Schizosaccharomyces pombe: one gene and its partner. The protein of the gene in region 1 interacts with the protein of each later gene in a pairwise test. Each region holds a gene or a part of one and is shown on either strand. Other genes may lie near its edges. The genes, in order: ubp1 and tts1.

Region 1 (5,383 bases):
CTATACAAAATAAAATAAAAAGTTAATTTAGTAAAATAGTTTGACTCCTTTCGATTTCAGATTCTCCAAAACAAACAGTTGCTGAAGGACAAGTAAGGATGGTTGGGTTAGTACGACAATATTAAGGCAAAGAGTTTATTCCTGCTTTATTTTAAGGATATACTTATAGCTGTTATTCAAATTGAAATACATATATCAATATACCTTGTGAGATTAGAAATAAACGAATATAAAATATAAGAGGTACACTTATTTTGTGCATGACATGAAGAATATTGTAAAAAAGCAAGTAAGGAAACAACCATAAACGTAAAAAGGTAAACATAATAATAAGATTCTATATAGGTCTGCGTAAAAGGCATCACTAAGCGAATAAAGGCGGTTAGTTGAGATCCTCCACTTTTTCATTACGAAATGTAGGTTATGCAACAAAGGAAGTTGAGATTTTATCTTCAAAAGAAGCTAAATTATCTCTTTGTTTCTCTCCGTCCTTTTTATCACGGGATTTTTCACGGTCCTCTAATTGAGCTCGAAGATCCCTAGCAATATTTCGCAGCATGGCATATCCAAGATGCATTTTTCCTGAGAAGTGATCAGCTAAACGACGATCGTTGTCTAATCTTGAAAGATAAGCGCTACAAATATCACATACTTGTAGCTTTTGATGCGTTGTGCTAGCCTGACTGGGAATTTCATTCATGGAAATCACTTCATCATATAATTCTTTCCTGTATGTCTTCAACCTATTAAGCTCAATAAAATGTTTAACTGCATCATTCACTAATTTTCTTTTTGCAAGCGCCTCCATTTCTGTAATAATAACTTCAATTGAATGGTCGGTATGTATTATATCTCGCATTAGCTCATCTATCCGTTCTTCCTCCTCTTTTGTTTTTTCTCTACGAGCTTCAGCAATATCAATACGCTTATTACAGTCATCAACATGTCTTTCTAGGTCTTCCAGATAATCCCACTCGTAGCCATAGTCATGTGAATAACTAGCCCGTTCATAATCCGACTTCAACTTGTCACTGTGGATCTTTGGACAAGGCCCCAAATCCATTTTAGTATTTGTAAATATATCATGAGGACAAATACCACATAAAAAGCTTCTGCAAACTTTGCGATCAGTGAAATGTACTAGGCCTCGAGAGGTAAAGTTACTCAAATTACTGCCCATCAACTGTTCTATGATTTTCCTCTGTTCAGCGGCCATAATAAGTGTATTTTCGGCAAAATGTAATTTTATCTCTGCTGATGTCCTATTTGTGGGTTTTCGACAAACGCTGTAAAATGAATAGAAAATTTCACTAGGTTTTACAAGTAGTATAAAGAATTTTTTCCTTTATTCACAATTAAATCAAAATTAAAGTTTACAATCGCTCAAATTTGATTGAGATGTAATTTGAGTAGCTTGTTGGGTTAAAATTCAAAAAAAAATTTCCCGGAAAAGTTCAAAAGTTGCTATTTCTAAATCGTTAAATATAGACGAGGCAATATATTGATACTTTATTCTTTCGATTAGATCAACTTTTACAAATTGTTGTTGAAAACTCAAACTTGACAGAGGGCAGCAATATGCGTCACCTGTATAAATCCTTTTTCACCATTTGGTACAACAAGTTTACTTAAACCAACAACTCCATTCCCCCAATTTTTTGCAATTTATAAGAGTGGAACTTGAAGAAACAAAAATATAACGAATAAATGACCATGTTTTGAGAATGGCATCAACTGCTACTCAAAACGCAAGCACTCGATATTCCCAAATTTGGATCGACCAACCTGCTTCATTGCCGTTCCAAGATTCGATAAATTTAATTAAAGAGGATAAAGAAAAATGGAAAAAAGAAAAAACTGCCTTTTTAATTGACTATGACTGGTTCGAAGGATACGTTGACTTTATATATGGAGAAGGCGACAACCCTGGTCCTATAACTCAATGGAGGCTGCTGGATGAAAAAAACGAGCTTAAACATTCTTTGGAGGAATCTATTGATTATAGCATTGTCTCTGCTTCGCTATGGCATATGCTTGTTGAGTGGTATGAATTTTCTTTAAAGGTCTCTACAGTACTTGTAAAAGGCATTATTAATTAAATTCAAAACTCATATTCATATATGTTTTGAAAGCATTGTGTCTTAGTTTTGAATATTTCATTAATTTATGTAGTTTGCATTACTTCCCACGGTGCCTAAATATATAGGTTCCCTTGGATTTTGAGGCCTCTTTTCAATTCCCATTATGTTATTAGCTAACTCAAATATAGGTTTGGATTAGAAGGTCTAGCTATAGAGCGAAAAGTTCTTTTGGTAGGATTGGCTGCTGAGCAAAAGCCATTCGTAGATATCTATCCTATAAACTTTACTTTGCACGTTTTATTCGACCCAATAAACGGTGAAAACACGAGCTATTCACCATTATACCAAATTGATGAACCATATCATAGTGATGAACCCTATGCGTTTAGCTTTTCCCGAAGTGATACCCTTCGGTCTTTGTACAAACAAGTGATGGAAGCTTTCCAAATATCTGATGGTACTTCTTTCCGTTTATGGTATCTAAACAAAAGTAATCTATCTTCTAGGTTTGTAAGTTTGTCGGAGTTCAATGATCAACCTGCGATTGCTTTGCTTTCCGAGTATGCTGTTTGCATGACTATTTTCGAAATAGATATTGCCGATGGAAGCTTATTGCTCGAGTTTCAACATCCTAACGGAGAGTGGTTATCTGACTCTATAACCAAAGAGCAAAATTTAACAATAAATAAAGAAATCGGACTCTGCGGTCTTTACAATTTGGGTAATTCATGCTATATGAATTCTGCCCTTCAATGTATGATACATACACACGAACTTACAAAATATTTTCTTAGTGATTCTTATGAAAAGGATATTAATTACAACAATCCGTTGGGAATGATGGGGAAAGTTGCCTTGTCTTATGCTAGTCTACTGAAGATGATCCATCATACTGCTGATATGCACTCGGTGTCACCTAGTTCTTTCAAATTTATAATTGGCGAGTTTAATACCTATTTTTCTGGATATCGTCAGCAAGATTCTCAGGAATTCATCGCCTTTTTCTTAGACGGGTTACACGAAGATTTGAATCGAATTCAGATAAAACCATACTTTGAAAGGCCAGATTTATTTGACGAACACCCATTACATGTTCAGAGAGTTGCAAATCAATGTTGGGATATTCATACAAAACGAAATGATTCCATAATTGTTCAGTTGTTTCAAGGAATGTATAAAAGCACCTTAGAGTGCTCCATATGCTATCAAAAATCAACTGCGTTTGATCCGTTCATGTATCTTACTCTTCCACTTCCTACTAGTGCAAAATGGCGACACAAGGTAGTGTACGTCCCGCCATTTGGCACACAGAGTCCTGTGGAATTGTATTTGGAGCTTCTCATGGAAAGTACGGTAATCCAAATGAAGTTTCAAGCTACGGAAAAGCTTCAAAAGATGGGACTCGAATGCGGGGAACTTACTGCTTGTGACATTTATCGGGGAAAGGTGTACAAGGTATTGAAAAATAAAGACAAAATATCTAAAAAAATTCATAAATGGGATCATGTTGTACTTTATGGAAGTACTGCAAACGGATTAACAATACCTATCGTCCATGGATGTAAACGACCGGCAATGCCCGGATCATACCAGTCTAACGATGTGTTTGGATTTCCTTTACAACTCAACGTCCGTTCTCGAAATGTACTCACAAATGATTTAGTGAAAGAGATTGTCGAACTGTATCGAGTTTATGCAGGCATAGACGTAGCAATCGGAACTCTTCAGCTTGGACTGAAGCGGATGGAAAGTAAGGCCGGGAAATGGGAATGCATAAAGGAAATTGAGGTTAAAAGGTTTGAAATAGTGGAGGAAGAGGAAATCGTTATTGACGACAAAACTGTAATTATGTGTCTATGGAACGATCAACAATATGAAAAGTTATTTTATAACTGCGAATGGATATTTGAAAAAATTCAGTTCCATATGGAGTCCATCACCCTTGAAGATTGTTTACTGGAGTTTTCCAAGCCAGAGCAGCTTGATTTACAGGATTCCTGGTATTGTCCTGGGTGTAAGGCATTTCGACCGGCAACAAAACGGCTGGAGATCTGGCGATTGCCAAAAATACTAGTCATTCATTTAAATCGATTCAGCGGCCACGGTGGAGATTTGCGGAGAAGACGTAAACGAAGGGATTTAGTAGTTTATCCAGTATTTGATCTCAATTTGAAGCAATTTTTGAGTCCATTTATAAAAGATCATGAGTGGCTATCGTCACAGAAATCGATGCTTTACGATTTGTATGCAGTGGACAATCATCACGGGTTTATGAGTAATGGTCATTATACTGCCTATGCAAGAGATGCATCGAGCCAAACATTCTTTAAGTTTGATGATACAGCTATTTGTGAAATAGATCCGGAGGATATTGTCACATCGTCTGCTTATGTATTGTTTTACAGAGCAAAGAATTAAAGAGACGTATAATAGAGGTGATATGAACTTTACTCTAACTAAAGGCTAATGTCGTTTGTTTGAATATGTATGAAACTGGAAATTGAATATGAACGAAGACGAGGAAGAGGTGGGAGTTTTTGCAATAAAAAAGTAATAAAATAAGCTATTAAAATAATCCATTACATTTATTATTCATAGAGCATTAAAATTATGAAAAAAAAAGTAGTAAACTTTTGCAACCAGACGTTTTTAAAAGCCAGTGGGATTAACACGATTAGTACTACGGGTCCATTTTGGTGATTTATGGACACCCTTGCGGAAGCCTTGGAGACCGGCACCTTGAGTCTTCCTGGTAAACATAGTGTATTTATCCTTTGGTGACATTTGGGATTCAGGCTGATGGTTAGCAACGAAACTTTCAATTCGTTTGCACGATTGATTTTTCTCTTGCAACGCCGTGCGCAAAACATCTACCACCTCATCGACGGCACGAAGTCGTTGACGGTGACGATATTTTCTTCGCTGGGATAATCTCCAAGGTACTTTATGAACAAGACCGCCAAAGCGAGCCAAAGTCGAGTTAAATGCACCCAGCATATTTTTCGTATAAAATCAAAAGGAGAGGAAGAAGGTTGGATCAAAAAGAGCAAATAAAAATTTTTTGTTAAGTTTTTGGGTGATAGACAAATTCTGAGTAGTTGATGGTTTGTCACAAAGTAGTTTACGGCTCCAACGAAACAGCAAAGATGTGAACAAAAATTAACTTGATTAGCGTCCTAAATTGATTTAAATATTATATTGCCATTCAAATATAAACACTACACCTCCAAAATGGTGGAGTTGGTTAACTGAAGAATGATATAGGTTTTGGGTAAGTTCATATCCTTGGGTGTACCTTCCAA
Region 2 (3,968 bases), on another chromosome or scaffold:
ATGTCCAACTCATCACGTAGCCAAAGGCGCATATCGGTCGTAACTTGATCGTTGCGACTTCTTCCTGTATGAAGCTTACCAGCAATGCCTGTACCAATTATTTCTCCCAATCTGCGCTCGTTAGCAGTATGGATATCTTCGTCAGAAGGTTGAAGAGTGAATTTATTTGTCTTCCATTCATCTCGGACAGCCTCTAAACCATCTAACATTTTATCCAATTCATCAGCACTAATGATTCCGCGTTGTTCTAATGCCTTAGCATAAGCTTTCGAGCCATCAATGTCGGCATTGAACATGCGCTTGTCATAATGAATAGACTCATTATAAGCTGTCATCAAGGGATCAGTGGCGCCAGTAAATCTACCGCCCCAAAGTTTTTGTGAAGAAGCCATTCAGAATTGTTAAAACAGAGTCAGTTTTTCAAGTTTTCAACCAACGCAAAAAGGAGGTAGTACTACTTAAAATTTAATTTATCTAATCTTTTGAGAGTATGGCTATATGACCGTGTAACCTCTTCCTTATCGCAACCTATTGTTATATCACATTAACGATACGGCGATAGATATGAAATTGATATTATAATCGCTATAATAAGATCTAACGTATTGGAACGTATAAACACTTAATAAATGTTTACATTCCGCTTCGTTATTTCTTTCCTTAAGTTTACAAAAGATATCATATATGGAAGCTTTGGTTGGAATCTTACTGTATAAATGTACTCAACCTGAATGATTTGTTTTGTCTTTCTGATTTATTAACTCAGAGCTACCAAAGAATTTCGCGAGCATTAGCTTAGATTTAAGAAAATTGACTGTTATAAAGATTGAGAATTCTTAAAAGATTTTCTTGTTAGTTGTGATTGTTTTTTCGATTTTTATTAGAACGATATTTATAGATGCCTGAAAACTCATTGGTAGATAAGTATTGTTTTCTCGTTTTTACTAGTGTCTGATCAGACTAAACTGGTTTAAACATTATGATGCATCTTCCGCCCAATTTCTTTTAAGATAGCTAACGAAAATCAATTAAAATAAACATGGACCAACCGAGTTTATGAATCCACCAAATATAGTGGGATTATAAAGAAGAAGAAAATCAACGAAGAATAAAGTGATAACAGTACATGATTTTCCTTTTCCCTCTTTACTTTCGTCTCTTACTGCCTTAAATTATACACTGCATTTCAAATTGTCAACTATATTATTGATTTCTTTTGGCATGAACACATATAGGGCGTATTACTTCGACAGTCTAACATTTACTTATACCAAGCTTCTCAAAATTCGTTTATAGTACTCGTCTTCGCCAACAAATAACTTAACAATTTACGTATGGATATGTTGTTAACAGAACGTCTGGACTCAAAACGGAATCCACAAAGTGTTATCTTCGAGAATACTCTAGAGCCAGTTTAGATCTTGCTAGTTATTTTTAAATAGAAGTTATTGAAGGTTGCCGAGCAATACAAGTGTGATATAGTAATGTTGAATCTGAACCATTTATTGTCCACTAGTAAATGTGCAAGAATTAATCCATTTATTGTTTCCATGTAAAACATAGAACAGATAGCGTAACAAACAACATCGTACTTTAGCATTTCACTTTGAAAAATTTTAGTCAGAGCTTCTTGTACATTGTTATCAAGGGTCGTAAATGAATTATGTTAGCTTTCTGGAGTGTCTGCTAGACTTAAACAATTGGATTTTAGAAAACTAAAGAGTGTAGCCCCTATTTAAATCTATTTAATTGTAATAGCTTGAATGCTACTCAAAGGCGTAAATCCTTTTTTAAGCGCTTATATTCCTGCTAAAAGAATTCTAGTCAAAACGTGTACTAGCGTATTTCACAGAAGTTCCATAGGTTTTCTTTTTCTGATGTAGGAAAATTTAGGATCTTCCATTGGTAAGCGTACATTGTACTCTATCACAACTATTACAACATACTTTTTGCTGGATATTAACTTAACAAAAGCCACATCTTTAAAACTTTGAAAATAACAACTTTGCTATAATGGAGCCAAAACAACGAGTTGTCAAGCCTTTAAAAGAAAGGGTTTTACCTGTTGTCAAGGTAAATATATCTATCATGTGTAAATCAGATAATAAATGTTGATTATAAGAAAAGTTTCTTATTTAGTTCCATAACGTAACTGTAATCTATTACTAAAACATAGACTAATTTGTCAGCATTATTTTATTTTGATTCAGTGTCATATTGTCTTCACTCTTTTAATACATTACTAACCGTTTATTATAGAACACCCAGTTTGTTTGGTTTTCGGGGCAAGTAATAGTGCTAATCTCTTCCGTCTTGTATGCTCTTCAAGCAATCCCTTTTCGTTCCGCTCCTCCATTTTTGTTTAAAAGCGCTGCCTTTGGTGCCATCGTTGCATATGCAATTGTCCTTTACAAAACTTATAGTCCAAACTTGACTTCCCGTGCTTCTTGGAATAAGCATTTCTTTGCCCGTCTTATGCTCGATGACAATGTTCAGTATTTTATTTTAGCTCTTTCAATGTTGATTGATCGTCCCATCCTATTTTCTCTCGCTCCATATGCCATTTACGCCACTTTCCACATCTCCACTTACTTGCGTAGTGTGCTTTTGCCTGCCATTTACCCTAATATTTCTGACGCGAAAACTGCGTCTTATGCTTCTCGTGTTTCTAATTTGCTAAATCAGTACACTCGAAGCCAATTTCAACCTGCTATGCAACTTGTTGCTTCTCTCGAAACATTTTTATTGTTCCGTTTGTTCTTTGGGGTTTTCTTACGTAAAAACTCAATTTCCAGGTTGGTGGGCTATATTTTCTTTCTTCGCATGAGATACACTAATAGTCACTTTACTCGTGCATCCATTAAAGCCGTTAGCCTTCGAATGGATCGTTTGGTTGCAGATAACAGAGTTCCTCCTGTTATCAAAAATGCTTGGCATACATTCAAAACTTATGTGTCCAAGTTCGGTGCTTCACCTGTAGGTACTGCTCAAAGCCGTCCCACTGCATCAAGCTCTACCACTGCTCCCTCATCTACTTAAAGTGATGCCTTATTCCTTTTGATTGCTAGAGATTTATATAAATTTCACCAATCAGTGTGATTTTAATATGTCTAAGTGCTCCTGGTTTTTGAGTTCTTTACTATTAACGAGTAGTTTCTATTTCACCCAAGTAAATTTTGAATGTTCATACCGTTTACCTCTTTCTCTAAAAACTTGTTTGAGATAATTCCGTTTATTTATTTTTGCTCACTACTCCTCTATTTCAGTTATCTTTGTTTGGGGGGTCTCCTCAGACTTTAGTTTAGCTTTTTTCAAGGAAATTGAAATATGGATATATGTTGTTTATCCAAAAACTCTTTGAGTATTAAAAGATTAAGAGGTAAAAATAATACGTTTTATTGAATTTTGTAGCACAATAAACACATGTATAGCAGCGCACTCTTGAAATCTAGCAAGTTATTAGTTTACATTGGATAAAATACCAGTTTCAATTGAATTTATGTGATGTTAATGCGTTTTGTTTCTTAGCATCTGCGCAAAGTAACGTAGCGCTGTGTTATGGTTCACTGGGAAACACCAACAAAGTGCTCGATGTTTTTCTGATTATCGTAATTATTTTGAACGATGTTTGATCAGTTGGAGTTTTATCCTGCTGTCAACTATGAGGATAATGAAACTCAAAATGATATAAAAGTAAGCTTAGATAAATGTTTTTACAAGGGCTTACCCAATTAGCTACCCGAAGTCGCCAAACTTGAAAATATCGAAACAGTGCATTCCATTTCTAAGGAAAGACGCGACTCTTTAACGGAAATTTTAAATGATTCTTCAAGCTTACCGGCACGTCCGTTTTCTCTGCCTAATCCCAATAATTCAACCGTAGAAAAGCAGTCGTTATTTCCATTTGAAGAAAAGATGAACCCCATATGGATAATTTCTAGACCTACTTTCTCTATTGAGCAAGACGC

What was found.
Region 2: the proteins of ubp1 (region 1) and tts1 interact in a two-hybrid assay, tested with the Schizosaccharomyces pombe proteins (one large-scale study listed by BioGRID).

What each region holds. Positions count from the first base shown.
Region 1 is NC_003421.2:888,553-893,935, reverse strand, and holds ubp1 (ubiquitin hydrolase Ubp1), read left to right. Parts: upstream 1-1,620; 5' UTR 1,621-1,724; coding exon 1,725-2,044; exon of another isoform or gene 2,045-2,102; intron 2,103-2,269; coding exon 2,270-4,499; 3' UTR 4,500-4,655; downstream 4,656-5,383. Other genes in the region: U1 snRNP-associated protein Luc7, read right to left, coding at 422-1,216; mrpl31 (mitochondrial 54S ribosomal protein mL60), read right to left, coding at 4,731-5,078.
Region 2 is NC_003423.3:4,366,376-4,370,343, forward strand, and holds tts1 (tetra-spanning protein 1), read left to right. Parts: upstream 1-1,966; 5' UTR 1,967-2,013; coding exon 2,014-2,073; intron 2,074-2,172; exon of another isoform or gene 2,173-2,259; coding exon 2,260-3,039; 3' UTR 3,040-3,441; downstream 3,442-3,968. Other genes in the region: arg41 (argininosuccinate lyase), read right to left, coding at 1-392; COG complex subunit Cog3, read left to right, coding at 3,625-3,693, 3,736-3,968. UniProt on the Schizosaccharomyces pombe protein: Required for the correct positioning of the cellular division plane by delimiting the actomyosin ring assembly at the cell equator.